Linked DNA regions of Oryctolagus cuniculus. The protein of the gene in region 4 purifies or fractionates together with the protein of the main gene of each other region. This does not show direct contact. Links are inferred from orthologs where the notes say so. Each region holds a gene or a part of one and is shown on either strand. Other genes may lie near its edges. The genes, in order: SESN2, KAT8, NCOA6, WDR5, PDPK1, PAXIP1 and E2F6.

Region 1 (3,578 bases), on a different chromosome or scaffold from region 4:
GTGCCGGCCCCTAAAGTTTTATTTTATTTATCTGAAAGGCAGAGTGACAGAAGGAGAGACAAGAGAGATGGAGATCTTCCATCTGCTGGTTCACTCTCCAAAGGGCCGCATGGCAAGGGCTGGGCCAGGCTGGGCCAGGAGCCAGGAGCTCCATCTGGGTCTCCCACATGGGTGACAGGGGCCAGGCATGTGGGCCACCCATTTCTTTCCCAGGCACATTAGGGAGCTGGATTGGAAGTGGAGCAGCCCCTACTCAAACTAGTGTTGTAATATGGGCTGCCAGTGTCACAGGCAGTGGCTTAACACACTGTGTCACAGCACTGGCCCCCTGCCCAGGGTTTTAAGCTCCAGTATTGTTTTTGTGTTTTATATTCTAATTTATAACTAACCACTCTACTTTATAATAAAGGAAAGAGATGGGATTTAGAAATCATCTGGATTTGAATCCTGTTTCTGTCATTTATGCGAACTACGGCCTACAGAAGAGGGTGAAACCTGTCTGGTTTCCTCTCTGTTAGGGAGAAATAATGGTATTTACCTCAAAGCATTATTGAAAAGATTCAATGAGGGATGGCTAAGAGGTCTGCATCCCACATTGGAGTACCTGGGTTCCAGTCCCAGCTCCAACTTTCTGCTAACGCAGACCCTGACAGGCAATGGTGATGGCTCAAGTAATTGGGTTCCTGCCACCCACATTGGAGATGTAGATTGCATTTCCTTCTGGCCCAGCTCCAGCTATTTGCAGGCACTGGGGAGTGAGCCAGCAGAGAGGAGCTCTCTCTCTTTGTCCAGCTCTCTCTCTGTCACTCTGCCTCTCAAATAAATAAATAAATAAATATTTTACAAAAATAAAATCATTGACCCCGGGGCCTTTGTTGTGGAGTAGAGGTGAAGCCGCCACCTGTGCCACTGACATCCCATGTGGGCGCCGGTTCATGTCCTGCCTGCTCCACTTCCAATCCAGCTCCCTGCAAATGCACCTGGGAAACCAGTGGAAGATGGCCCAACTGCCTGGGCCCCTGCACCCATGCAGGAAACCTGGAGGAAGCTCCTGGCTCCTGGCCTCGGTCTGGCCTAGCCCTAGCCATTGAGGCCATCTGGGGAATGAACCAGCAGATGGAAGATCTCTCAAGATCTCTCTTTCTCTCTTTCTGTAACTCTGTCTTTCAAATATTTTTTTTTTTAAACTAACCCCTTTCAAAAAAAATTCAATGAGATCATACAGGTAAACTTTTAAATCAGACCTGACGTGGACAAAACAGATAATGTGACCTGTTTTGCACCCACTGCCGTGGTTATGTGCATTTGCGTGTTAGAACAGAATCTCCTTGAAGGTAGAAGAAACTGTATTCTTTTCTTTTTTTTTTTTTTTAAAGATTTATTTTCATTTGTTTGAAAGACAGAATGACAGAGAGAAATAAAAAAAAAAAATAAGTCTTCCATCCACTGATTCACTCCCCAAATGGCCACAATGGCCTAGGCTGCGCCAGGCCAAAGCCGGAACCTGGAACTTCATCTGGGTCTCCCACATGGACGGCAGAGCTCCAAACACGTGGGCCGTCTTCCGCTGCTTTCCCGGGAGCATCGGCAGGGAGCTGGATCGGAAGCATGGCTGACCTGGAACATACGGCGTTATAGGCCACAGCCTAACCCCTGCTCCACAACACTGACCTCAGAGAAACTATACTCTTTTTTTTTTTTGACAGGTAGAGTTATAGACAGTGAGAGAGAGACAGAGAGAAAGGTCTTCCTTCCGTTGGTTCACTCCCCTAATGGCTGCTACAGCTGGCGCTGCGCCAGTCCGAAGCCGGGAGCCGGGTACTTCCTCCCGGTCTCCCACGTGGGTGCAGGGACCCAAGCACTTGGGCCATCCTCCGCTGCCCTCCCGGGCCACAGCAGAGAGCTGGACTGGAAGAGGGGCAACTGGGACTAGTACCCGGCGCCCCAACCGGGACTAGAACCTGGGGAGCCAGCGCTGCAGGCAGAGGATTAGCCAAGTGAGCCACGGCTCCGGCCAAGAAACTGTACTCTTAATCTCTGTTTCAGTTTTCCTATCTAAAAATGGAGAAAGTAGAACTCCAATTTCATACTTATAATGATTAAATGAAAAAAAAAATATATATATAAAGTGCTTGCACAGTGCATGGCATTTAGTAAGCATTATATAAGTATTGGCTATTTTTTAAAAGATTTATTTATTTATTTGAAAGTCAGAGTTACATAGAGAGAGGAGAGGCAGGGAGAGAGAGAGAGGTCTTCATCCTCTGGTTCACTCCCCAGTTGGCTGCAACGGCTGGAGCTGTGCTGATCCAAAGCCAGGAGCCAGGAGCTTCTTCCTGCTCTCCCAGGGGCCCATCTTCCATTGCTTTCCCAGGACATAGCAGAGAGCTGGATCGGAAGAGGAGCAGCCAGGACTAGAACCGATACCCATATGGGATGCCAGTGCTTTAGGCCAGGGCGTTAACCCGCTGCACCATAGCTTGGGCCCCAAGTATTGGCTATTATCATATATATGAAGTGCCTGATAAGTGTTTATTTACTGAAATGTGTTTCCGCCCCACTCCCCCTCTTTTTGAACAAGGTGGTGGTTTTGAGTTACTTGCTGTAATTCACCCATTGCCCAGTATGTGTTGGTCTCTGTAGCTGGGAACCCATGCTCTCCTCCCCTTGCCTTGGCAGGTGCTTCGGGAGGGAGCTGAGAGCCTGGAGCAGCACCTGGGGCTGGAGGCATTGATGTCTTCAGGGCGGGTGGACAACCTGGCGGTGGTGATGAGTCTGCACCCTGACTACCTTAGCAGCTTTTGGCGCCTTCACTACCTGCTGCTACACACGGACGGGCCCCTGGCAAGCTCCTGGCGCCACTACATTGCCATCATGGTGAGCCGCTCTGGGCCTGATGCTTGTGGGACTGGCCACAGGTGGGGCTCTGGCTGTGGATCTCCTTGTGGGGCCTCCTGAGCTGATTTCCCAGATGAGGAGGAAAGGGGTTTAGAGCCCAGGAAAGCCCTGAGTGGCCATAGAATTGGAGGCTTTGAAGACAGGCATCTTAGATGCCGACTTTCCAGACTGAGAAACTTGGGGTGCAAGGAGGTCAGGTGAGCTCCAAGCTGGTGGCAGATGTGGGGTTAGAATCTAGATTGCCCACCTTTTAAGCAACAGGGTACTGTGCTGGCTTCACCCTGAGCGAGGCCCAGAGGAGGAGGGTGACTCAGGCTCTGTCCGCCCCTGCAGGCTGCCGCCCGCCACCAGTGTTCCTACCTTGTGGGCTCCCACATGACCGAGTTTCTGCAGACTGGCGGTGACCCTGAGTGGCTGCTGGGCCTCCACCGGGCCCCTGAGAAGCTGCGCAAACTCAGCGAGATCAATAAGCTCCTGGCACATCGGCCGTGGCTCATCACCAAGGAGCACATCCAGGTGTGGTGGGCAGAGAGGTGGGGTCCCGAGGGAGCGCAGGGGCCTGGCCGTGGCCTGGCTGGAGCCTGGCCAGCAGCCCCATGGCAGGCACTGAGCAGGCCCGGCCTTCTCTCCCCTGCAGGCCTTGCTGAAGACGGGCGAGCACAGCTGGTCCCTGGCTGAAC
Region 2 (3,578 bases), on a different chromosome or scaffold from region 4:
CAGAGCGCATAGCACTTATTGGAGGTAAGTACTGCTTGGAGAAGCTTTTACTTCACCTAGAAGCACAACGTTTGCAGGAACGCGAGCGTGGCACCAGTCCTTACTGTGGATGGGACCGGAAGGGCCTCCCAGGGTCTAAGGCAGCAGTGTCCCACTGAACTTCCTGTCAGGAAAAAAACGTTCCGTGGCCATTCTGTCTCCTGGGCAGTGACCGCTGGCCACTGGCCACGTGTGGCTCTTGAACACTATTGAGAGTGGGAGTGAACTTTTTACACTGTAACGAATTTAAACAGCCGCAGGCGCTGGTGGCTCCTGGGTTGGACAGAGCTAATCAGGTGGAAGACGGTGAGTCCCTCACTAGCTGGCACTGAACACACACTGGACACCAAGCCAGATGAGAATGGGCCACTAGTGATAAAACCCCAGAATGGGTCGTAATGGGCAAGTTAACGATCAGCCAGGTTCTTCGGAGCCTAATTAATGTTTGACTCTTAAATAAATTACGGCATTTAAGAGGAGTGTTTCTGTAGTTCTTTATTGCCTTGGCCAAAGCCGCGTGTTTGCTGGCATCCGGGAAGTGTGTCTTAACGAGGGGTAAGGAGGAGGACTTTGTGTCGTGTTGGCAGTGGTCAGGCTGTGAATCGGACAGACCAGGGACGTGTGCCCACCTGTGCTGTGTACCAGGTCTGTGACCTTGGGCAAGTGCCCTGTCACGCTGTGCCACCGTTTCCTCTCCTGTACGGGGGGAGAGCCAACGGCGCTATCTCCAGGCTCATTGTGAAGACTCCAGCAGGATCTGTGGAGTGAAATAAATGGCAACTGGCTGGTGGCCAAGGGCGGGTGACCACACTGCTCCCTGTGTGTTCACCACTCTGTAAAATCAAAATAAGAATGCTTTAGCTCAGATCGCTGAGGGGATTAGCTGAGGGGCCCGTGTTGTGGTCTAACAGGTTAAGCTACTGCCTGTAATACCAGCATCCCATATGGGCACTGGCTTGAGTCCTGGCTGCTCCACTTCGCATCCAGCTCCCTGCTAACATGCCTGGGAAAGCAGTGGCGGATGCCTCAAGTCCTTGGGCCCCTGCACACATGTGGGCTCCTGGCTTGGGCCTGGTCCAGCTCTTGCTGTTGCAGCCATTTGGGGAGTGAACCAGCAGATGAAGATCTCTCTCTCTGTCTCTGTAGCTCTATCTTTCAAATAAATAAAATAAATCTTTTATTTAAAAAATGTTTTTTTAAAGGGTTAGTTGGGCCTGTTTAGGCAGAGCGCCTTGTGAAGGGGACTTCTGGGTCAACAGTGGTCCTTTCTCAACTAAATAGGCCCCAAGCCCCTCTGGTGCAGGTTGTGGGCCTTCAAGGGTGCCCCCCCCCATTGTCCAGCTGTCGGCGGCACCTTCTTCAAATTCTGGCCCAAGAACACCATGTGCTGTGTGACTGGACGTTTACTCCCCCGCACACTCAAGACTCGGACAATAAGGGAAGCAAGCTGCTGACCACCTTGCCCCTGGCTTGGGAAGGCCGCTGTTCTCCAGAGCGGGAGACGCCGGCCAGGCTTCCTGGAGCGGGTGGGGACGACGCTGGGCCTTGGAGGCCTGGAGCCAGCACAGTGGAAACAATTACAGCCTCCAGCTCACAAAGTCCAGCTCCGTCCTGGGACCCGCCTGCCTCGTGCTGTGTGCCAGTTGGAGGAAGCGTTGTCTGCTGGCCTAAGGAAAGGGCATTCGCAAGGGGAAGGCCCTGCACGTGCAGAAGCACAAAGGCCAGAGAGTGGGTGTTAATCACTGCGGGGCTTTGCGGGGCCTGAGCCTGGGGGTTGGGGCGCTAAGGAGGCCTGGTCAGTTGTCCAGACCGGACATGGTAGGAAAGACTAGAGGATTCCAGAGCGTGACTTCAGAGATGTCAGGGAGGTGAGTTGCCATCCGCTGGTTGAGATCTTGGCCATGCTAATGGAATGCCAGGCTGAGAGGGAGGAGTCGAGAGCAGGCTCAGTGGCTGGACTCGGGCAGCTGGGCCCAGGGCGAATGCCCAGGAGGAAGGTTTGCAGAGAGCAAAGGGGCTTTCTGCGCATCTTGAGTTATGACGCTGCTGTGGAAGGGGCCTCTGGGGATAGGCCCACCGGCAGGCAGCGGCAGGTGCCCAGCAGAGGTGCCCAGGCCCACGGGGCAGTCAGCCGTGGTCGCCCTTGCCTTGGGAGACGAGATCCATCCTATCATGTGGCAGTTTGGGCAGAGCTGGGTTGCCTCACTGTGCAGCGGAAGCTCTTAGCTCCCGATCCGCGCCTTGGTCAGCTGGCAGGATGTCCCAGCACGGGCATCAGGGGTGTCTGGGCAGACAGGCGAGGCGCTCAGACCAGCCAGCCACAGACCCAGGTCAGACGACTTCGCTCCGGGTCTGGTGTATGGATGTTCTGGAAGCCAGGAGGGAGGCACCGTGGACCCTGAGATTAAGGGGCAGCCTGACCACCTTCTGTTCAGCCCTGCGCACTTCTCTTCCCTGCAGACTTACGCAGAGATGGACCCCACAACGGCAGCCTTGGAGAAGGAGCATGAGGCGGTACGCAGGGTCAGGGGCCTGCCTGGGCATTCCCTCACCACTTCCTCCCTCACCCGTGCTAAGCCTTGTGCTGTCCTTCCCCACTCCCCACCGTCCCCCTCTGCCTGCAGATCACCAAGGTGAAGTATGTGGACAAGATCCACATCGGCAACTACGAAATTGACGCCTGGTACTTCTCACCGTTCCCGGAGGACTATGGGAAACAGCCCAAGCTCTGGCTCTGCGAGTACTGCCTCAAGTACATGAAGTATGAGAAGAGCTACCGCTTCCATCTGGTGAGCTGGGCCAGGCCGGGCCCTGGGGCTGGGGGCGGCTGGGAGCAGAGAGGGGTCTGCAGGAGTCAGGCGCCAGGAGCAGCTGAATTCCAGGCCTGGCTTTGCCTTTCTGTGGGGCTGACCTTGGCCAACTTACTGCCTCCCTCCGGACCTCAGTTCCCACGTCTGTAGAGGGGTGCAGTTAACTCTTGGGCCCTCGGCCCTTTGGCCCTTGACCGCTGTGTTTAGCAGCGCCAGGCTCCTGGGTGTGAAAGAGGAAGTGAACGTCCACCCCTAGCAGTGGGACGAAAGATGTGGACGGGGATCAGAAGGTGTGGAGGGCGGTGCATGGGAACTGCACTCTCACCACCAGCATGGTGAGGGGGGAGGGGAGGGTTGCCCAGAGCAGTGAATTTCCCTGGTTCAGGAAAGCCAGGGTCATGGATAAGTGCCCTCTGGAGACCCCTAGCCCGAGTATGCGCTCTGTGCGCCCAGGAGGTTCCGTCCTCTGCAGCTGTTAGGGAGGACTCCTCAGGCTGGGTGAAACACTGACCCTGGGGGCTATGGATGAGAAAAGGGGGAGACTTGCTCGGGGCCGCACGGTGGGGTGGTGAGGGTCGTCAGGCAGGGAGCCTCTGAGTCTCAAGCCTGTGTCCCCCACCCCACCCACCTCTCACTGCCAGGGCCAGTGTCAGTGGCGGCAGCCCCCAGGGAAGGAGATCTATCGCAAGAGCAACATCTCTGTGTACGAAGTGGACGGCAAAGACCACA
Region 3 (4,322 bases), on a different chromosome or scaffold from region 4:
CTTAAGATTTTTGCATTTTACTGTATACAGATTATACCTCAGTTTTTGAAAGTTAAAAGAAGAAAAAACTATCAAAATTTTTTTTTTCCAGGCCCCAGGTTCTTTCTAAATCCATCTGGTTAATTTTGTAGACCCAAAAGTCTAAAGTGCCCTCTTGTGGCTGCCTGTGGTTCTCTTTGGGTATCTGCTCTCTTGGGTGTAGTCCCTAGCAGGGCACCTAGGGTCCACACACACACATGGAATACTCACTGAGCACCTACTCAGTGCCAGGCACCGTGCTGAGTGCTGAGGAAACAAAACAGACGGGGCTCCCCTTTCATGTAGACCACAGTGAACTGGCACAGGCGTAGTAACCTACTGCATTCTAATTAAGGACAAGTGCATGGCATAAGAGAACTTGTCTGGGGAGCGGTCAGTGAAGGCTGCCTTGGAGTAGCCATGTTTGAGCCAGGATCGAAGGCTGATGAGTTAGCTATCTACCTGGGGAGAGCGTGGAGTGTGCAAGGGTCCCGAGAAGGGAGTGCAATGTGCCAAACAGGTCACTGGAGTGGCAACCCAAAGAGCAGAAGGGAGCCCTGAGACAAGAATGGAAATGCGGGGTAGAAAACAGGTACTCGTTTACCCTTAGAGCAATGTGGAACCATCAACAGTTTTAAGTAGGGGAGTGACACGGCCAGATTTCTGAGGTAGAAGCTTCGACAACAAAGTGGGTGATAGGCTGGAAGTGGGCCAGGATGGGTGTGAGGCCATTTGGTGGCTACTGCATTAGTGCAAACGCCCAGTGGGTGCTCAAGACCCGTCTGTGGAATGAAAGGGTTCCCCAGTCCCTTTTGTTAGATGGGACCCCATGACTGAGCAGCTCCCACAGTTCACAGCCCACTTGCTCAGTCTCCAGTCTTCCCTGATGCACAGACCCCCAACTTCCACATTACAGATGAGGAAGGCGAGGTCCAGAGAGGCAGAGAAAGTCCAGGAGGCCTCTGTGCCACGGGGATGCCTGGCTACACCTGGGGGAGGGGAGGGTGGCACTCATTCACTCAGGAATTCTGTCCACTGAGCTTGCTGGCGAGATGGTGGTGACGGCACAGGGTCGAAACTCACAGGCAAGTAACGGTAACGACCGTTCTCTTTCTCAGTTAATGCCAAGCACCGTGCCAAGCGCTTCATCTCCGCTTTGCAAGCATTATTATTATCTCCAGATTTCAGTTGGGTAAACTGAGGCTCGGAGAGTTGCCATGTCCCAGGACACTCAGCCAGAGCGCGGCAAGGAGCTGCGCAGCGCTTCCAAGGTGGGAGCCACAAGCGAAGCGACTACCGGAAGCAGACGCGGACCCGCGGGATCCAGATTTTAAGCCCCGGGCACCCAATTGAGCGGGTGCGCGCTCCACGCGCTCCCGGGGACGTTTGGTCACGTGTGCAGGGCCCCGCCCCCTCGGGCCCGCCCCGCCCCCTCCCGCGCTCCCTCCCTCTCTCCCTCCCTCCCCCTCCCTCCCTGGCCCGGTCCGGCCCATCCCCCTCCCCGCCGGCTCCCTGAGGCCCTGCCGGGTCGGGCTGCGGGCGGCCGGGCGCCGACGGCAGGACAGACGGGCGCACGAGAGGACGGACGGACGGACGCACGGAGGGCGGCGGGCACGCACGGCCCGGGCCGGCGCTCCGAGGCCCGCCCGGGAGGGCCGGGGCCGCGCTCAGGTGAGGCGACGGCGACGCGGGCCCGTAAGGGGTGGGCCCGCCCGCCCGGCGTCCGCGGTCTCGGCCTGGCTGGCTTCGCGGGGAGGAGGTGCTGCCCGGGCCCGGCGCGGGAAAATGGCGCCGGGCGGTCGTGCGGCACGGCCCGAGTGCGGGCCCGGCCCGGAGCCGCCCCGCCCGCCCGCCGCGCTCGTGTCCCCGTCGCCATGTTGGGGAGCGGGCCCCGGGCCTGCGGGCGGGGGCGCTGGAGGGAGCGGCGGCCCGGCCGAGGCTGGGGAGGGTGCGGGACGTGGGGTTCGGGGCGTCGAGGGAGTGCAGGGCTGGCCGGGGTCTGCACGGGGTGGCGCTCCAGGCCCAGGGAACTGGCAGGGGCCGGACTTGGGGTCGAGGCTAGGATCGCGAAGAAGGGACACTGGATCCGAACGGAACCGGGGTCGGAGGTCCCTGGGCTGGGGGGATGGCAGGACGTGGAGCCGTGTTAGGCCGTGGCGGTGTTCAGACCCCCAGGGCAGGTAGGCGGTGTGGGGGCCCAGCTCAGGCTGTCAGGGCTGGAGCTGGTCTTTGCAGGGAGGGGAGGGGAGGGGAGGGGAGGAGAGGAGGTGATTGATTAGAAATGGGGGCCTTTTTGCTACAGATGAATGTATCAAATTGGGGCAGTCCTGGGATCTTGGGGACAGAATTGCAAGCCCCTGTAACTCTTAAGGGATTAAGGACTTTTGTGTCCCACGGAGCCTTCACCTCATTTTGAGGGGAGCATCATAAAAACGGAAGAGTTGATGGGGAGAGAAAAGGAGGGCTGTGGTTTGAGGGCAGGAGCTGGCCAGCAGAAGGGGGTGCAGAGAGTGGAACTGCTTGGCAAGAAGGGAGAGAACCTCCATCAACTTATGGAGTTGTGTGTATCTTTAAAAGGAGGGACCAGGCTGTTTGGAGGTGGTGACCCAAGGTGTCTTCACAGGAAGGGGACAGCCCACTGCTTAAGAGCAGGGTCACCTGGGGAGGTCATCAAAAAGGTCTTAATTGAGCCAGTAAGAATGGTACAGAAGAGTAAATATGTAAAAGCTACAACGGCCTCCGAGCTCATGGGATACTTTTCAGATCTTGTCGTGGCTTTGGCTTCCCTGAGATCTTAGGAGTTCAGTGGCAGAGGGGCTCCTGGACGTGGTTGTGCTTCCTCCTCATTCGCTCATTGTCTTGAGGGAATTTGCTTGCTGGAAGAATAGTGTTAAGCATATATCATGGAACTGTTAAGCATTTGTTTTATTTTTGTAAGGAGTTTGTACAAAGTCTGAGGGGGCTTCCAAAAAGAATAACTAACCAGCTATTTGATATATCAGCGCTCACCTCCATTTGTGCAAAGAAGTTATCTTCAAAATCCTCTCATTTTCTTCCATTTTAGTAGGTGAACCTTCTCTTCTTCCTGTTTACTGTACAGCAAAGGAACACAAAAAACTAAGAAACAACAATGAACAAGGATAGCGATCCAGAATCTCATGTTCAAACTGTAATTGATGGTCCATCACCGTAGGCAAGAGTTCAAAGTTTACATGAACTGTGAGGAGACTTCTGAAGGAAACCTTGTGTTTCAGTCATGATATCCAGTGGGTGCTCCATTCCTGTGGGTCCACACTTGTGGATTCAACAACCACCAATTGAAAATATTTAGGAAGATACATTGTATCAGTACTGAACATGCACAGGCTATTTTTTTGGTCATGCTTCCCCAGATGGTACAGTGTAACTATATGTACATAGCATTTACATTGTATTAGGTACTATAAATAACATAGAGACAATTTAAAATATAGGAGAGGACATGTGTAGGTTATATGCAGATACTATGCCATTTTATAAGAGACTTGAATTAGCCTTGAATTTTGGTATTGGGGGAGGGAGACCGTCTTTCACTGAAACTAAGGGACAACCATGTAATCAAAAAGGACTTTCAACAAAGAGGTGATGAAGGCATTCATAACATAGGATTTTCAATGCTGTATGTATGTACAACACAATCCGTTTTTTCTAGATTTTTCTAAGGCAGGAGGCCTGACCTTATGTGTGCCGTGGGACCTTTTACTATTTGGCGAGGTTTATTAAACCTCTCAGAAAAAATATTTTTATTTGTATAAAGTATATTAGATTACAGAGAAAACCAATTATTTGAAATGCAATTATCAAAATATATAAATTATGATAAACTAATACAAGCAAGTATGTGAGGAGGTGGGTGTATGTGTATACATACTTCTTTATCAGCACATTAATGAATTAGATCTGGGGGCTGGTGTGGTGGCACAGAAGATTAAGCCACTACCTGCAACATCGGCATCCGCTATCGCACTGCTGGTTCAAGTCCTGGCTGCTCTGCTTCCAGTTCAGCTCCCTGCTAATGTAACTGGGAAAGTAGTGCAGGATGGCCCAAGTTCTTCAGCCTCTGCCACCTACATGGGAGACCCAGGCAGAGTTCTAGGTTCCTGCCTTCAGGCTGGCCCAACCCTGGCCACTGCTACCATTTGGGAAGTGAGCCAGACAATGGAAGACCTCTCTTACTGCCTGTGCTTCCCTCTTTGTCATTCTGCTGTTCAAACAAATAAAGTAAACCTTGCAAAATAAAGTGAAGAATTAAAAAACAAAAAAAT
Region 4 (3,578 bases):
GCGGGGCTGCGCGGGGGCGGGGCGGGGCTCCGTGAGTGCGGGGCGGGGCTGCGCGGGGGCGGGGCGGAGCTCCGTGAGTGCGGGGCGGGGCGGGCTGCGTGGGGGCGGGGCTGCGTGGGGGCGGGGCGGAGCTCCGTGAGTGCGGGGCGGGGGCGGGGGCGGGGCTGCGCTGCGTGGGGGTGGGGTGCGTGGGGGCGCGGCGTGGCGGAGGGGGCCCTGCCTTCCTGCCGTGGGCCACTGTCCTGTCCCGCCTGCCCTAGTTTGACGAGAGCGTGAGGATTTGGGACGTGAAGACGGGGAAGTGCCTCAAGACCCTGCCCGCGCACTCGGACCCCGTGTCAGCCGTAAGTCCCCCCCACCCCCGGGACGCGGCCACTGCGGGCGTGGGCTTCCGGGGGCAGCGTCCCCGACCTGAGTCTCGGGGGAGCAGGGCCGCGTGGGGAGCCGACCTCGGAAGGGGGTTCCGCGTGGAGGTAGCCTTGCTCGTCGGAGGTGGCCGGGATGGCCCGGGCCTGTGGACACGCGGTGGACGCTGAGTTGCTGGTCCCAGCCGTGCGTGTTGTCCGAGCTGCAGGCGTGCGGGCGCCATCCCGGGGTGCGGGGCGCGCGGGGAGAGCGAAGCCGCGTGCAGTGTCCGCGGCTGCTCCGTGAGCGGGGGTGGGGCGGTGGCTCGGCCTCAGGCCTGGCCGGAGCCTGCTGCAGCGTTTTGTCTGTGGGGCGTCTGGGCCTGTGCGGGACCCTGCCCGCCGCGCTGTCCTCCAGGCATGAGTGGCGCTGAGCGGCTGGGGCGGAGGAACGCAAGGAGTGACCGGCGGGCGGGGTTAGTGAGCTTGAGGGGAGCCCTGGAGCCCCCGGTCCTCAGCTGTGGCTGCAGGCTTTTTATTACCGATTGATTTCCCGTGTCTTTGAAGGAGCGAAAGGGAGAGGCGGGTCCTCCGTACACGGCCTCATCCCCAGTGTGTCCGCAACGGCCAGGGTGAGGCCAGGCAGCCGGGGCCCTGGGTGCGGAGGACCTGAGCTCGGCACCGGGCACCTGCTCTGGGCCGCGGGGCGGGCCTAGGTGGGCTCGGGGCTGGCCTAGGTGGGCTCGGGGCGGGCCTAGGTGGGCTCGGGGCTGCCGGCGCAGTGGCCCGCGGCAGAGAATCGCTCTGCATCGGGGGAGGTGAGCGTGGCGTCCACGGCCTGGGAGAGCGGTGGCTGCTGCTGCCGGGGCCGCGGGCAGTGCCGCTGCGCCGGCCGGCTCCCCAGCAGGCGGCCCCCGCGGGGCCCAGTCTGGGAAACCGGACTTGGAGATTTCGGAGACGTAGCCACGGGAGACCCGGCACGGTGTGTGGGCGGCGTGTCGGGGTGACACGTGAAGTGAGTTGTCTGGGAGACGGGGCCGGGCGGAGCCAGGAGAACGCTGGCGCTCCGCGGGGTCAGGGAGCGCCACCACGGCGTCGCCCTGCGTGGCCTTCGCCTGCGCAGCCGCTGGGGACCCGGGGTGGCCCCGGCTGTGCCCTGCGGGGCCTTGGGTGGGCTGGCACGCGCTGACTGCCCCCGCCCTGTGCTGGGGACCTGCTCAGGTCTGCAGCTGTTTCCGGCTGCCCGGGACGGCCCCGCAGTGCCAGGAGAGTGTCCTTGGCGTCGGCAGCTGCACGGGGAAGCCGGTGCTGAGGCCCGGCCCGACGGTTGGGCCAGGGCAGTTCCAGAGGTGCCCCTTGCAGAGAGGCGGGCCCTGGGCCAGCCCTGACGGACCCTGACCCTTGACCTCGTGAATGACAGCCGCAGGCAGCCGGGGTCGTCACTTATCTCCGTCGCGGTGACCCCCGCTCCTTGGGTTCCACAGGAGGGGGTTGGGAAGCAGCGTGGGTCAGCTCCTGGGGTCTGCAGCCAGGGCGAGTGGGGGGCTTGGCCCAGAGGGTCCTGGATCTCGCTTCTGCCACTGTGCGGGGCCTGTGCTCGGCGGTGGTCTGGCCGTCTGGACGGCTGCAGGCAGGTGCAGGCGCGGAGTGCGGGGAGACCCACGTGCCTCGGGTCGTCGGCCCCACGTTGCCTCGTTGGGCTGACCCCAGCCGGGCAGGCGGGGTGTTTCCTGTCGCTCCCCATCACTGCCCCGGGATCTCAGGGCCCGAGACAGCAGCTGGAGCCGTCGCTGTGCCCGCTTGACCCCTTGTGTGTGTCGCCTGCGGCTGGCCGGGCCCGGGGCCTGTGCACCGCCTCTGTCGTGCGTCCGTGCAGGCAGGAAGCGGCCTGGTGATGACCTGGAAGTACATCTGCCGACCCCACTTTCATTTTCAGGTTCACTTCAACCGTGACGGCTCGTTGATCGTCTCCAGCAGCTACGATGGTCTCTGGTGAGTGGGCGTCTGTCCCTTACCAGGGCTCGGCTCTGCTGTTCCGAGCTCGGACCGCGCGGCAGAGCCGGCGGCCTGGAGCTACCAGCGGCTTTCCTGCCGGGGGCTGCCGGCTTCGGAGGCCCAGAGGCGCCGAACAGGCTGGGGCGGGCGGCGGTGGGGCTGCGGTCTGGGGCCCCTGCTGTGGCGAGCCCTCAGTGAGAGGAGGGGCCTGGGGGCGGGGCTCTGCCGCGTGTCCAGTGGGTAACGCCCGGGCGTGGGCGCTGTGTGTCCAGGAAAATGCAGCAATGCTTCAGTGGTGCCCAGCGGGTCCGTGACGGGGGCTGGCGTGGGCCACGGGGGCCGCTGCTGGCTCGGTTGATGAGCCCGGTCGAGAGGACGTGCTGGCTAGGGAAGGGCAGAGGGGGCCCTGGGCAGACAGCCTGGGGGGAGGGCCCTGCTCGGAGCTGGCGAGCTGGGGCTTTGATGAACTCGCCCGCGCCTGTGTTGCTCTCGCGACACCCTTGAGCGCAAGGGGAGGCAGGTGCACAGCCGAGAGAAACTTCCCACAAGTGGGCCTGGCGGGCAGGTGGGGGACGCGGAGCCGAGACCGCGGGGCGCTGACACCCAGCGCTCTGCCTCGCTGCCCCCGGCCTCCGCCCCACGCAGAGCCGGACAGGCCAGGGGCCCTGCCAGGCCTCCGTCCCAGCTGCAGCCGGCCGGGCGCCGAGCCCTCCTGGAGGCGCGTTCCGTGAGCCGGCTGCACCGTGGTGCTGGCCTGGGTGCTGACCAGACAGGCCTACAGGAAGTGCGTACCTGGCCCTGGCCTGCCCTGGCCACCGTCTCCCGGGGACCAGGTTTCCAAGGAAAACAGCAGAGGCCGGCCGGCATGCGTTGAGGGTTGTTGACGGAATCAGGAGAGGAGAAGCCGTGGGTCGGGAGCTGCCTGCAGCGGGACAGCCGGGCCCAGGCACGCGCTGGTGCCACAGAGGGCGCAGAGGCACCGGGAGGCCGGCGCAGTCGGGCGAGCGCGTGCCCGCGCCCCTGCCTGAGTTCCCTGCCGGACCGGGGGACGCAGCCACACGGGCGTGGACGAGCGCCGTCTCTAGGAGACGGGTTCTGGTGTTCAAGGATCAGAAGCCCCCCGGTGTGGGGCAGCTTCCAGACACCAGCGTAGCCCCCGGTGCGTGCTGGGAGCCGGGAAGCCAGCCCGTGCTCAGCGGGCCTGGTGGGCCTGGGGGTGGAACATGGACGTCCTCCTGG
Region 5 (4,277 bases), on a different chromosome or scaffold from region 4:
TCCAGGCCAGCTCTCTGCTGTGGCCCGGGAAGGCAGTGGAGGATGGCCCAAGTGCTTGGGCCCTGCACCCGCATGGGGACCAGGAGAAGCACCTGGCTCCTGGCTTCGGATCAGCGCAGCGCGCCGGCCGTGGCAGCCATTGGAGGGTGAACCAACGGCAAAAAGGAAGACCTTTCTCTCTGTCTCTCTCTCTCACTGTCCACTCTGCCTGTCAAAAAAAAAAAAAAAAAAAAAGGGTTATTTACAAATATGCAAACCAGGGGTGTGTTAAGCCCCTGCCCGTGGCTGGCATCCCATACGAACACTGGTTCAAGTCCTGGCTGCTCCACTTCAGCTCCAGCTTCCTGCTAAAGGGCCTGGGCCCGAGTGCTTGGGCCCCTGCCACCTGTGTGGGACCCAGATGAAGCTGCTGGGTCCTGCGTTTGGTCTGGCCCAAGCTTGGTCACTGCAGCCATTTGGGTCAGCCCAGGAAGATCTCTCTGTCTCTGTCTCCCTCTCTGACTGCATGTGGCCGGTGCTGTGGCATAGCGGCAAAGCCACCGCCTGTGCCGCCCGCATCCCATACGGGCGTTAGTTTGTATCCCAGCTGCTCCTCTTCTGCTCCTGCTCCCCGCTATGGCCTGGGGAGGCAGCAGAAGATGTCCTGGTGCTTGAGTCCCTGCACCCACAGGGGAGACCCGGATGGAGCTCCTGGCTGCTGGCTTTGGCCTGGCTTGGCTCCAGGCGGTGTGGCCATGTGGGAGAGAGCCAGGGGATGGAAGGGAGATCTCCCTCTCTGTTTCAAATAAATAAGTAAATTTTTTTTTTTTTTTTTAAGAAACGCACACACCCACACAGCGAACCTTCAGTAAAAAGAGGAAGGTGGGATCGTGGCGCGCCAGCGTGAAGGTACTTACTGTAGCCGAACTGTGCACCTGACGGGGTCACATGGTCAGCTTCGTGTGTACCTGCCCCCGTAAAAACCCCTCCTGCCCCGCATGAGCGCCTGCAGCGAGCAGAGCAGCCCAGGACACGCTCAGGCGTGGGTGTTCGGAGGGTGGCCCCGGGGTGCCCGGGCGACGCGGGCCTGTTCCCTTCCGCAAACGCTTAGCACCTGGGAAACCAGTGCCGGAGCAGGCTGCAGCCCAGCCCCGCTGCCGCCTGGGGCCTGACTCTGGGCCCGAGCCCCCGGGCCTCAGTTTCCCCGTCTGGGAGCTGGGGATGACAGCTAGCCATGCCCCGCCCCGCTAGCTCCAGGATTGGCTGGCGCGGCGTCGCCCTTCCCTAGCGGGGCAGGGCCGCTCCCGTCAGTCGAGCCCTAACCCGGAAATGCGGCTCCGGGGGTCGGGGCGGGGTCCGCCCGGGAGCCGCGGAGCGACGACCGGCTCAGCCAATGGGCGTGGGCGGCGGCGGCGGCGCGGCGGAAGTCCTGCCCGGCGTCGCGCGGGGGCGGGGCGGTGCCGGGGGCGGCGGGCGGCGGGGCGGGCGCAGGATGAGGGCGGCCATTGCTGGGGCTCCGCCGCGGGGAAGAGGACGGCGAGGAGGCGCCGAGTAGCGCAGCGGGGCGGAGGAGGCTCCCGCGCCGACGGGGGCCCATGGCCAGGACCACCAGCCACTTGGTGAGTGCGCCGCGGCGGGCGGGGCGCTCCGGCCCGTTACACCGCGGAGCGCGGCGGCCTCCCGGGACCGGCGAGGCGGGGCGGCCCGGGGTCCCGAGGGCCGGGCGGCGCCTTCACTGCGACGGCCGGCCGGGCCGGGGCGGTCGGTTCCAGCCGGGCTCTCTCCTCGGCCGCCGCGGGCAGCCCTGGCCCTGGCGGCGGCGGACGCCGGCCCGGCCGGGGGCGCTGACAGGCGCGGAGGGCGGGGGAGGCCTGGAGGTGTCACCTGGCCGGGCGGGGTGGAAGTGCCTGGAAAGTTTGTTTTCGAGTCGGCGCAGCCTGGAGCGAGCCTCTGGGGCCACCTTTCCGCTCGGTCTCCCGAGGAGCCGCCCTAGGCCTCCGCCTGGAACGGCTTCCCAGCGCCTCCGCCTGCAGAAGGGGGCTCGTTCTTGGGCCGGGCACCTGATGCTCGCGGCCCCGCCAGCGAATTCTCGACCCGGGGCGGGGAGTGCGGAGGGTCTGGTCGCCCCTGCTTTCGCGGCCCTGCGGGAGGCATTTGGATGCTTTTGCGGCCGGTGGCCGTGTTCCGTGCGGGGGGGAGCTGCTGGGAGGCGGGCCTCGAAGCATCGCCGAGGGGAAGTGAGCCTGACAGGTAGAGGGGACCCCGGGGCAGCAGAGCGGAGCAGGCCACTTGTTTGTCGAGCGTCTCTGTTTTCCCCGCGTTCCTGGTGTCTGGATGTGCTCTGAGGTCTTGGGACGTGCGTGGCGATTTAGCCCTGTGTGCGGTGGTGATGGTCGGACGTCACTTGCAGAGGAAGTCCTGGGCATGAAGGCAGGCCCGGGGCGCAGCTGGACGCTCGTCTGCCAGGCTAGGCCGTCGCGGCTGCAGTCGCAGTCCCGGGGGGCCGGGGCCTGGCAGGGCCCCTTGGCGTGGCCGAGGTGGGAGCCCGTGGCTGAGAAAGCGCGCGGCTGCACTGGATTCTGCGACTGTGTCAGGAGGCCCTTGGACCTTCCGCAGCTGCTCCTTGGTGATCATTAAACCGAAACCTGCAGGCTGAGAACGGGGTGGGGGTGTCCGCGTGTTGGGGGTGTGGCTGCACCCCGGCGCCCGGCAGAGTGAGCTTCCGCACGGTCTGTGCAGGCTAGAAAGGGGTGGGGGTGTCCGCGTGTTGGGGGTGTGGCTGCACCCCGGCACGGTCTGTGCAGGCTGAGAACGGGGTGGGGGTGTCCGCGTGTTGGGGGCGTGGCTGCACCCCGGGGCCCGGCAGAGTGAGCTTCCGCACGGTCTGTGCAGGCTAGAAAGGGGTGGGGGTGTCCGCGTGTTGGGGGTGTGGCTGCACCCTGGCACTCGGCAGAGTGAGCTTCCGCACGGTCTGTGCAGGCTGAGAACGGGGTGGGGGTGTCCGCGTGTTGGGGGTGTGGCTGCACCCCGGCACGGTCTGTGCAGGCTGAGAACGGGGTGGGGGTGTCCGCGTGTTGGGGGTGTGGCTGCACCCCGGCACGGTCTGTGCAGGCTGAGAACGGGGTGGGGGTGTCCGCGTGTTGGGGGTGTGGCTGCACCCCGGCGCCCGGCAGAGTGAGCTTCCGCACGGTCTGTGCAGCGCCGGGTGTGTATGAGGCTCTGTGGAACAGGGAGCTCGGGGTTTCGCGGTCTTGTCATCCACACGATGGACTCTGACATGCAGTGTCTTCATGCGAGGCAGCGTGGCATCCCGTGAGCAGAAGTGGCCTTCCCGGGGAGGGAGTGAGTGGCAGGCCCCGCGGCTTTGGCAGCTGGAGTCCCTGTGGCCCCGTGTGGAGGAGGCCGTGTTTCCTGTCAGTGGTGCCGCAGACCGCCTGCCCCAGAGGCACCTGATGGGTCTAAGGGGTCTGCACGCAGACTTCAGGGTGGCACTGCAGGCGTGTGGGAGATGCCTCTGCCAGTGGGAAACCAGCAGGGGGAGCAGTCTGCGCTCTGGCCTCTCCTGCCGGGAGTCCGAGGTGGGCCAGAGTCCGATGAGGGCAGGTGCCTTGCCAGGTACCTCCTGTGGTGGTGTGGGCAGTGTTGCTCCCTTGCACTGATGCCTTGAGGTGCAGAGGGGTTTGGCAGGGACCCCAGTGTGAGGGCCGCCAGGGAGGGAGGGAGGGTGGGCAGCTCAGCCCGGCTCTGTGTGTGGGGTGTGAGGAGTCCTCAGTGCGTCTACCCAGGATGTCTTCCCGGGAATGGAGCCCCATGGAGGCAGAGAGAGTGTCTTGGCCTGCAGGGACAGCGCACGTGTGTCTCTGGGCAGATGGCTGAACTCTGTGACCCCTGGGGCCTGTAGCGGCCTCCTGCTGTCAGCAGCTGTTTGGAGAGCGGCTCCGGCTCTGCACTGAGGGCTGATAGTCTGGGTGAGGCTTGGGGTCCCTCTGGAAGAAGGACATGTCTCTGTGGGGTTAAGGGTGGAATTGGGGGTTCGGCGGGCCTTTTGCGAGGCTGGCTGTGTCTGTCGGGAAAGGCTGGGGAAAGCAGAGAGCGTCAGAAAAAGCGGCTTGTGGTTTTCTGGCTGCGCTCCGCCTGCCGCCTGCCGTGGCTGGTGTGTGTGGAGCAGGGTGACCCCGCCCGGTGACACCCGGGAGGCAGCAGTCTGCAAGCGAGTGGAGAGCGGCAGGGTGAGTGCTGATGCCCCAGCTGGGGCTGAGGTCTGCTCTGCTCTTGGGTGTGTGTCGTGGGGAGGCCAC
Region 6 (3,578 bases), on a different chromosome or scaffold from region 4:
AATAGGGTTAAATTGTATTGATTGATTTTTAGTGAAATCTATTTGTGCTGGTTTCCATGGTCATAAGAAATTGATTTCAAATTTTTGTCATTTGAACATGTTGAACAAAATTGATTGTGTAGCCTGAATAGTTTGTTTTATTCTGTGCTGTGTAGGATATAATAAAAATAACTTGCAACTTGATACTCAGTTCGATGGGCATCTCCTGTTCTGTGGTTCTGTGGGTGGCCCCTTGCACCCACAGAACTGTCAGCCTGCTCCTTGTCTTGGTGAAGCCAAATGAACTTGAAGGGAAATAGTCTGGCTTGAATGATTTTCTTTGGTGTGAAATATTTTTGTCCCATCTGAAGAACTCGAAGTCATTTTTATAGAAAGATAATTTCCCAGCTGTAATAATGATTTCTTAGTTGCCTTTTAAGCAAACCTCTTGAAGTCTTGTCTGTCCATTTATGTAGCATGCCCACTACAGAGAGCAGGGTTACCTGGGGGTAGCGGGGGCCAGGCAGGGAGGGGTGGCCTTACCGGTCTTAGCTGATATCTGAGCTGCTCATGGTATTACTGCATGGGTCTCTCTCCTTTCATTTGGACTCTGGGCCGTGAGGTAGGAGGAGGTGGAATGGTAGATGTGGCTACCACTTGTCATTCCCCTCAGCACAAAGTCTGTGGAGCTGGAGAAAGGGAGATGGGTGATGGGAGATGCTGCACACTACAGCATATCACAGGGAGCACCAGGGCTTGGGCTCCCAAGGCCCTAGAAGGAAATGTTTATGACTGCTCTTCAAAACTCCGCAGGTGTGAGTTTTTATGTTTGTCATCTTTAATTCATTAGCTTACTCGGTTTTACATACATGTTTTAAATTTTGGTGATCTCAAAATATGAATTTATTTGCTTGTCTTACTAAAGTTGGTGATACAAGGTATATAAGAAAAATGTGGTCATTATGAAGTTTCTAATCCTTTGGTGCTTCTGTTATGTTGAATATTAGCACCGGAGGGAAACTGTTAGTACATGTACCTATTGATAATGACTTCACCTACCTTTTGTTTTCTAGATCTTACAGTCCCTCTCAGCGCCCACAAAACACTTAGAGCAGCAGGTGAATCACAGCCAGCAGGGCCATGCCAATGCCAGTGCCATGTTGTTCAGCCAGGTGAAAGGCACTCCAGAGACACACATGCTTCAGCAGCACCATCAGCCCCAGCCGCAGCAGCAGCAGCCGCCGATTTTACACCTGCAGCCCCAGCAAATGATGCAGCTGCAGCAGCAGCAGCAGCAGCAGCAGATTTCCCAGCAACCCTACGCCCAGCAGCAGTCCCACCAGTTCTCGCAGCAGCCACAGCCGCAGCAAGTCCATCAGCATCAGTTTCCACAGCAACAGCTACAGTTTCCACAGCAACAGTTGCATCCTCCACAGCAACTGCATCGCCCTCAGCAGCAGCTACAGCCGTTTCAGCAGCCGCATGCCCTGCAGCTGCAGCAGCTGCAGCAGCACCAGCTGGCACAGCTGCAGCAGCAGCAGCATAGCCTGCTGCAGCAGCAGCAGCTACAGCGCCTGCACCAGCAGCACCAGCAGCAGCACATGCAGAATCAGACAGCACAACACTTGAGTCAGACGTCCCAGGCGCTGCCGCATCAGCTGCCACCTCAACAGCCCCAGCCCCAGCCCCAGCCCCAGCCCCAGCCGCAGCCGCAGCCGCCACAGCATCATCAGCTGTTTGGACACGATCCAGCAGTGGAGAGTTAGTAACCGGGATTGTTTTTTCTTTCTCCTTTAAGTCTTATGCTTATATAAATGCACTAAGAGTGTGTGAGGGTGTGGGGTAAGGATCCATATCAAATGGTTCTTACGAAATGGAGACTGTGACTCTCATATCTAACAAAGAAGTCATTATAATGAGATAATTGTACTTTCTTTTGAGGCACTATATACTGAAATGGATAGTTTTGTTCCATAGAGCACCCAGGCTGCCACTCGGACTAATTCAATAGTTGTCTGGCATAAATTAAGTTGGTTTTTCTTTTAAGTGATTCCTTAATATAGATAATCAGACTAGTATGTTTGTATGAATATTCCAAAATGTACTCAGATTACTGGCAGAAACATCATTGTCAAGACCAATTAAGTTGGTAAATTCAAGTTTAATTCTGTCAAATGCCATTTAAAAATGGGAGGTGCATGCATATTCATAGGATTTTAATTTTCTTTTTCTTGTATGATTCTATTGGTTCTGTTGTAGTTCCGGAAGAAGGCTTCTTACTGGGATGTGTGTTTGCAATTGCGGATTATCCAGAGCAGATGTCTGACAAACAGCTGCTGGCCACCTGGAAAAGGGTAAGGCTTTGCCTACAAGAAGTAGAACTTTTTAAGTGAAGATATTCCTTCATGATTGTAGACTTAGCCATGTTCATTTGACTGTATTCACTGACACATCTGCATGTGTTCTCAACGTGCTGTGGGCATTTTTATTACTAGCTTTCTCTTTGACCCTGGGCAAATCACTTTTCTAGACTTCAGTTTTCTCAGCTGAAATAGGTGAAAGATAGACTATTAAGATTTTTTTCAGCTCGAAAATTCTAAGGGACATTGGTTGTTTATATACGGTTGGGGGTGTGGGAATCAGATAAGGTTTTCACTGATGTAAGGAAAGGACTACAAACCTGTGTGTGTCTTAATCATTTCTCTTTCTCCAAAGTGTTAGAAAACCTAGGATCTTTTAAGTTAAAAAGGACCTCAAATCTTCTATTCCTGTTGTGCTGTAGTGCATTTATTTATTTGAAAGGCAGAGTTACAGAGAGGCAGAGGCAGAGAGACAGACAAGAGAGATCTTCCATCTGCTAATTCACTCCCCAAATGGCTGCAACAGCTGGGGCTGGGCCAATCTGTAACCAGGAGCCATGAGCAGGGGCCCAAGCGTTTGGGCCATCTTCTGCTGCATAGTCCGTTTATTTATTATTTTACATGGTGGCTTCTAAAGAAAAATAAAATGAACATTTTCTTGCTGTGTCACAAATCAAAGCTGAGTGTTTTTTTTTTTTTTTAATTGAACAAAAACTGACTTTAAGTATGTTTCAAGTGCATCTCAGGTGTACTTCACCATGAGCATTTCTGGTGTGCACCAAGCCTACTACAGGATGCAGGGAATGTATACTGAATAAACAGACTAACTACACTGACCAGTAGGGGAAGCAGAGGCATGCATAATAAGTAAGAACCAGTCTGGTAGATGCTGGGTAGAGGTGGCACAGGGTGCTATGAGAGCCTGTTCGGTGTGGATGTGTTGAAAAAAAGTCTTTCGGAAGAGATGGTTCTTGAACTGAGTCTTAAAGGATGAGTAGGAGCAAGACTTAGGGAGATTTTTCAGACAGAGCAAACAGCACAGGCAAAGGCCCACAGTGTGGCTTGCAGAGATGAGGGGGAGATCCCAGTAGGGCCCATGAAAGTCCATGGAACAGGGAGGACAAGAGATCTTCTCTATGCTATGTTATGAGATTTGGAAGTAGAGCAGCTGGGACTCGAACTGGTACCCATGTGGGATATTGGCATCACAGGCAGTGGCTTAACCCCTTATGCCACAAC
Region 7 (3,575 bases), on a different chromosome or scaffold from region 4:
AACCAGACTCGGCCTGGCCTCCAGCAGTGAGCACAATCTTCCCGGGCCGCCCATGTGCCACTGGGAAGCCGTGGCAGGGACGATGGCTGAGTTCGGAGACTCCCGAGATGCAGCGTGTCCCCCAGCTCACAGAGGCTTGGAACAGGAGGGACAGCCGGGTGGAACGCCAGCCTGGGCCTGACGAGTGACGCCAGAGGGGGAGAGACGCCGCCTGTTGTGCAGTTGCACGTGAGAAGGCAAAGGATTCGCGAGCACAGCCGTCCCTGGTGGACTCAGCGAGGTTTCCCGTGGACGCGCCCTAGCTCGTGGGGAAGCTGTCCTAGTGAATCCTGGGTAAACGCGGCTGAAGCCGCACGCTGTGAGCCGGTGGTTTGTGTTAGTCCTCAGTACAGTTGGCCCCTTGTGTTTTTCACGTCTGAAATTGTGCGTGGTCTGTTTTGACTTGCTCTGTTCCTCTGATTCTTTCGACTGGACAGAGGAAAGGCCCCGAGGCGTCTCAGTGCTGCCTCCCGGTCTGGAAGTCCACACTCGCCCCCCCCCCCCCACCGCCACCGTGCAGGGCTGGGGGGTTCTCCGGTTCTTTGTCGTCAGATCGCGGGTTTTAACTCAGGTCCGTCCTGGAGGCGGCAGCTCCTCAAGGCGGGAGAGGTTCTCGAGTGCTGAGGCGTCTGCACGCGGTGGCTCGGAGCCTGTACTCCTGGGTAGCAGCCGGCTCCACCGCGGGAGCACCGGTGGCTCACGGTGTGACCAGCTGAGAACCTGCGCGGTGGGAGGGGAGCTGCTTCTGATGTAGGTTTTCAGGAAGGTCCCGGGAAACTTGCACGGATCTGGTGAGCGAGGCACTCCCGATGCTGTCCTTGTCCCCGCCAGGACTCGGTCACGGTGCACATCAGGAGCACCAAGGGGCCCATTGACGTGTACCTGTGTGAGGTGCAGCAGGACCCCCCGAGCAGGAAGGCTGCCAGAAGCAAGGGTCCGGAGCGCCCCGAGCAAGGTAAACGCACGCCCTTTGTGGCTGGGAAGATGGAGCCCAGCGGTTTCAGTGTGTGTGACTTTGAGTGCGCTCTGTGACCTTCAGGTACCTGTCCTCTTCCTGTCCGCAAAAACCTGAGTTAAAAAGTAAGCCCCGGCTGGCGCCACGACTCACTAGGCTAATCCTCCGCCTTGCGGCGCCGGCACACCGGGTTCTAGTCCCGGTCCGGGCGCCGGATTCTGTCCCGGTTGCCCCTCTTCCAGGCCAGCTCTCTGCTGTGGCCCGGGAGTGCAGTGGAGGATGGCCCAAGTACTTAGGCCCTGCACCCCATGGGAGACCAGGAGAAGTACCTGGCTCCTGCCATCGGATCAGCGCGGTGTGCCGGCCTCAGTGGCCATTGGAGGGTGAACCAACGGCAAAGGAAGACCTTTCTCTCTGTCTCTCGTCTCTCTCTCTCACTGTCCATTCTGCCTGTCAAAAAAAAAAAGGAAGCCCCTTCTCCTCTCAGACCCTCACTGAGGCGACTGCTCTCCTGTGTGCCTTTTCAGAAGAAAATCCGCCCCAGCAAGGGGAAGCGTTGCCTGAGACGAACAACTGAGGGTGTTTGAGTTCACGGACTGCGCCGTCGCGAACGTCCCGGATGGTTAACTGCGTCACGTCCGAGCAATAAATCCTCCCCGACGTGCGCTCAGCACAGCATCGGCCGCGCTGCGCAGGCCACTGCCCAGATTGCTGGGTGATCTCGGTTCCTGCATCCGGCGACTCAGTGACGTGGGCAGCTCGCCTCCCGAGACTCGGGACACACGGGCAGCGGAGCTCCGGGACACGGCCCTCCCCGCGAGGGAGGAAGAGGTTGCCTTATACCGCTTCGTGCGTGCGCTCGCGAATCTGACTGGTCTCTGCAGATCTGTATAACGGCGAAGTCTCACGAGCTCTGTCCAGGTGACGCATCGCACCCTGTACAGCCCAGATAACGCGCACGCGGGCAGTGGCGGACAGGCGCCCTCGTAGCTCGGGGCTCTAACTTGCTAGGCCCCTCTGGGTGCGGGTTACAGGAGAGCTTTCCCCGGCTTCTGCGTGTGGAAGGGCCGTGGCTGTGCTCCACGGTTGAGTCCTCGGGTTTAATTAAAGTGTTTTAATATGGAGCCCAGGGTTCACGCTGGATACAGACAGCGGCTGACCTCAGCTGCTGCAGAGTGCCCGTGTCCCAGCGGCTCGTGGTGCAGGTTGGAAGCCGAGCTGTTCTGCAGACCGGCTCTGTGCACTGTTCTGTACTCCGTGCGCAGTGATGCCCCGCCCCCTCAGCCCTGGCCCCGCCCATCCAGCACCTGGCTCTTCTACCTCATGGGGCGAGTCACTCACCCCCGTGCCTCAGCTTGCTCAGTCGTTGGCCACTCTACTGTGAGCCCCCGAGGGCCTTTGTCACCGTCATCGTCCGTCCCAGCGCTGGGCAGCGCCCCGACCTGTAGAGTGCCCCCTGCGTGTCTGAGCTGGCAGAGTGAGGGTTGGTGACGCCTGCCTGCGGCAGGTGTGTGTGCTGGGCTTTGCTGGCGCAGGGGTCAGCACCGCAGCATCCACGCACACCCTTTCACAAGAAGTTGTTAAAACAAGCCAAAGAAAAGCACAGGGCACTGTCCGTCGTCATTGGGCTAGCTGGGGATTTTTTTTTCTTTTTGATAGTATAGGAACAATGGGTATAGGGTGAACGAGTTTTAGGCTTAATGAAAATGAGGATTTGGGCAAGGAGTTTGTGTGTCAGTCGGTGCCCACCCCATGTATTGGGTTGGACAGATGTCAAGTTCAGGTTCTGTGTGAGAGTTTACACTGGGGTCACGTCGAGAGAATGCAGAAGGGAAGAGAACCAGGAATACACGGACATTTAAGAACAGAAGAAGGAATAAGGAGAGGAAAACCGGGGAAGGGGGTGTCCAGACAGCAGGGGGGCACTGCCGAGGCCGGGAGTCCTGCTTCTGGTGGTCCCGGGGTCGCGCGGGAACGTGCGGGCAGCAGTCCCCTGCGTGTTTGTGTCTTCTGTAAATGAACATCTTGCCACCCCGTCTGCTGGTGTTCTGCCTCTTCTTTTCACTCCCGCCCATCCCAAGCCCCTCCCGCCTTGCTTTCAGAGGCCCCGTGTTTCCCGGGTCTCCTCTCCGCTGAGGGCCACACCTCTTCGTTTTGTTTTTTAGCAAGAGTTCCAGAGAGGGAGAGACAGAGATCGTTTGCCTGCTGGTTCACCCTCCGCCTGGCTAGTCCAGGCCAAAGCCAGGAGCTTCGTCTGTGTCTCCCACGTGTGCGCAGGGCCCCAGACATCGGGGCCGTCTTCCGCTGCTCTTCCCAGGCCATTAGCAGGGAGCTGGATCGGAGCAGAGCAGCTGGGACATGGATGGCGACGCACACCTGACACACCGGACACTGCAGGCCTGCCCCAGGCTCACTGGCTGATCTTGTCACACCTCGCTGGCCCCTGCCACACCCCGTCTAGTGCTGGAAACCGTCTCTGCGCCCTTGCTCTTCTCCGACCCCAGCCTCCCCTGCCTCAGATCCGCATCCCGGCCGCACCCTGCCCTCCGTGTCCTCCTGTCCTGCACGCGGCCTGTGCACG

What was found.
Region 1: the proteins of WDR5 (region 4) and SESN2 purify together in Homo sapiens (affinity purification with mass spectrometry; 3 studies listed by BioGRID and IntAct, counting the BioPlex papers as one, with this or other methods). This does not show direct contact. The link is inferred for Oryctolagus cuniculus from reciprocal best matches to the Homo sapiens genes WDR5 and SESN2.
Region 2: the proteins of WDR5 (region 4) and KAT8 purify together in Homo sapiens (affinity purification with mass spectrometry; 5 studies listed by BioGRID and IntAct, with this or other methods). This does not show direct contact. The link is inferred for Oryctolagus cuniculus from reciprocal best matches to the Homo sapiens genes WDR5 and KAT8.
Region 3: the proteins of WDR5 (region 4) and NCOA6 purify together in Homo sapiens (co-immunoprecipitation; 10 studies listed by BioGRID and IntAct, counting the BioPlex papers as one, with this or other methods). This does not show direct contact. The link is inferred for Oryctolagus cuniculus from reciprocal best matches to the Homo sapiens genes WDR5 and NCOA6.
Region 5: the proteins of WDR5 (region 4) and PDPK1 purify together in Homo sapiens (affinity purification with mass spectrometry; 4 studies listed by BioGRID and IntAct, counting the BioPlex papers as one, with this or other methods). This does not show direct contact. The link is inferred for Oryctolagus cuniculus from reciprocal best matches to the Homo sapiens genes WDR5 and PDPK1.
Region 6: the proteins of WDR5 (region 4) and PAXIP1 purify together in Homo sapiens (affinity purification with mass spectrometry; 7 studies listed by BioGRID and IntAct, counting the BioPlex papers as one, with this or other methods). This does not show direct contact. The link is inferred for Oryctolagus cuniculus from reciprocal best matches to the Homo sapiens genes WDR5 and PAXIP1.
Region 7: the proteins of WDR5 (region 4) and E2F6 purify together in Homo sapiens (affinity purification with mass spectrometry; 4 studies listed by BioGRID and IntAct, counting the BioPlex papers as one, with this or other methods). This does not show direct contact. The link is inferred for Oryctolagus cuniculus from reciprocal best matches to the Homo sapiens genes WDR5 and E2F6.

The regions. Positions count from the first base shown.
Region 1 is NC_091438.1:143,412,756-143,416,333, reverse strand, and holds part of SESN2 (sestrin-2), read left to right. Parts: intron 1-2,679; coding exon 2,680-2,877; intron 2,878-3,231; coding exon 3,232-3,414; intron 3,415-3,535; coding exon 3,536-3,578. UniProt on the Homo sapiens protein: Functions as an intracellular leucine sensor that negatively regulates the mTORC1 signaling pathway through the GATOR complex. In absence of leucine, binds the GATOR subcomplex GATOR2 and prevents mTORC1 signaling.
Region 2 is NC_091450.1:6,063,355-6,066,932, reverse strand, and holds part of KAT8 (histone acetyltransferase KAT8), read left to right. Parts: intron 1-2,499; coding exon 2,500-2,553; intron 2,554-2,663; coding exon 2,664-2,828; intron 2,829-3,490; coding exon 3,491-3,578.
Region 3 is NC_091442.1:23,283,866-23,288,187, forward strand, and holds the start of NCOA6 (nuclear receptor coactivator 6), read left to right. Parts: upstream 1-1,462; 5' UTR 1,463-1,689; intron 1,690-2,718; exon of another isoform or gene 2,719-2,894; intron 2,895-3,027; exon of another isoform or gene 3,028-3,110; intron 3,111-4,322. UniProt on the Homo sapiens protein: Nuclear receptor coactivator that directly binds nuclear receptors and stimulates the transcriptional activities in a hormone-dependent fashion. Coactivates expression in an agonist- and AF2-dependent manner.
Region 4 is NC_091432.1:235,834,268-235,837,845, forward strand, and holds part of WDR5 (WD repeat-containing protein 5), read left to right. Parts: intron 1-260; coding exon 261-344; intron 345-2,280; coding exon 2,281-2,336; intron 2,337-3,578.
Region 5 is NC_091450.1:32,774,732-32,779,008, reverse strand, and holds the start of PDPK1 (3-phosphoinositide-dependent protein kinase 1), read left to right. Parts: upstream 1-1,429; 5' UTR 1,430-1,574; coding exon 1,575-1,598; intron 1,599-4,277. UniProt on the Homo sapiens protein: Serine/threonine kinase which acts as a master kinase, phosphorylating and activating a subgroup of the AGC family of protein kinases.
Region 6 is NC_091438.1:18,780,711-18,784,288, forward strand, and holds part of PAXIP1 (PAX-interacting protein 1), read left to right. Parts: intron 1-1,052; coding exon 1,053-1,740; intron 1,741-2,238; coding exon 2,239-2,333; intron 2,334-3,578.
Region 7 is NC_091433.1:191,257,109-191,260,683, forward strand, and holds the end of E2F6 (transcription factor E2F6), read left to right. Parts: intron 1-870; coding exon 871-994; intron 995-1,521; coding exon 1,522-1,571; 3' UTR 1,572-3,032; downstream 3,033-3,575. UniProt on the Homo sapiens protein: Inhibitor of E2F-dependent transcription. Binds DNA cooperatively with DP proteins through the E2 recognition site, 5'-TTTC[CG]CGC-3'. Has a preference for the 5'-TTTCCCGC-3' E2F recognition site.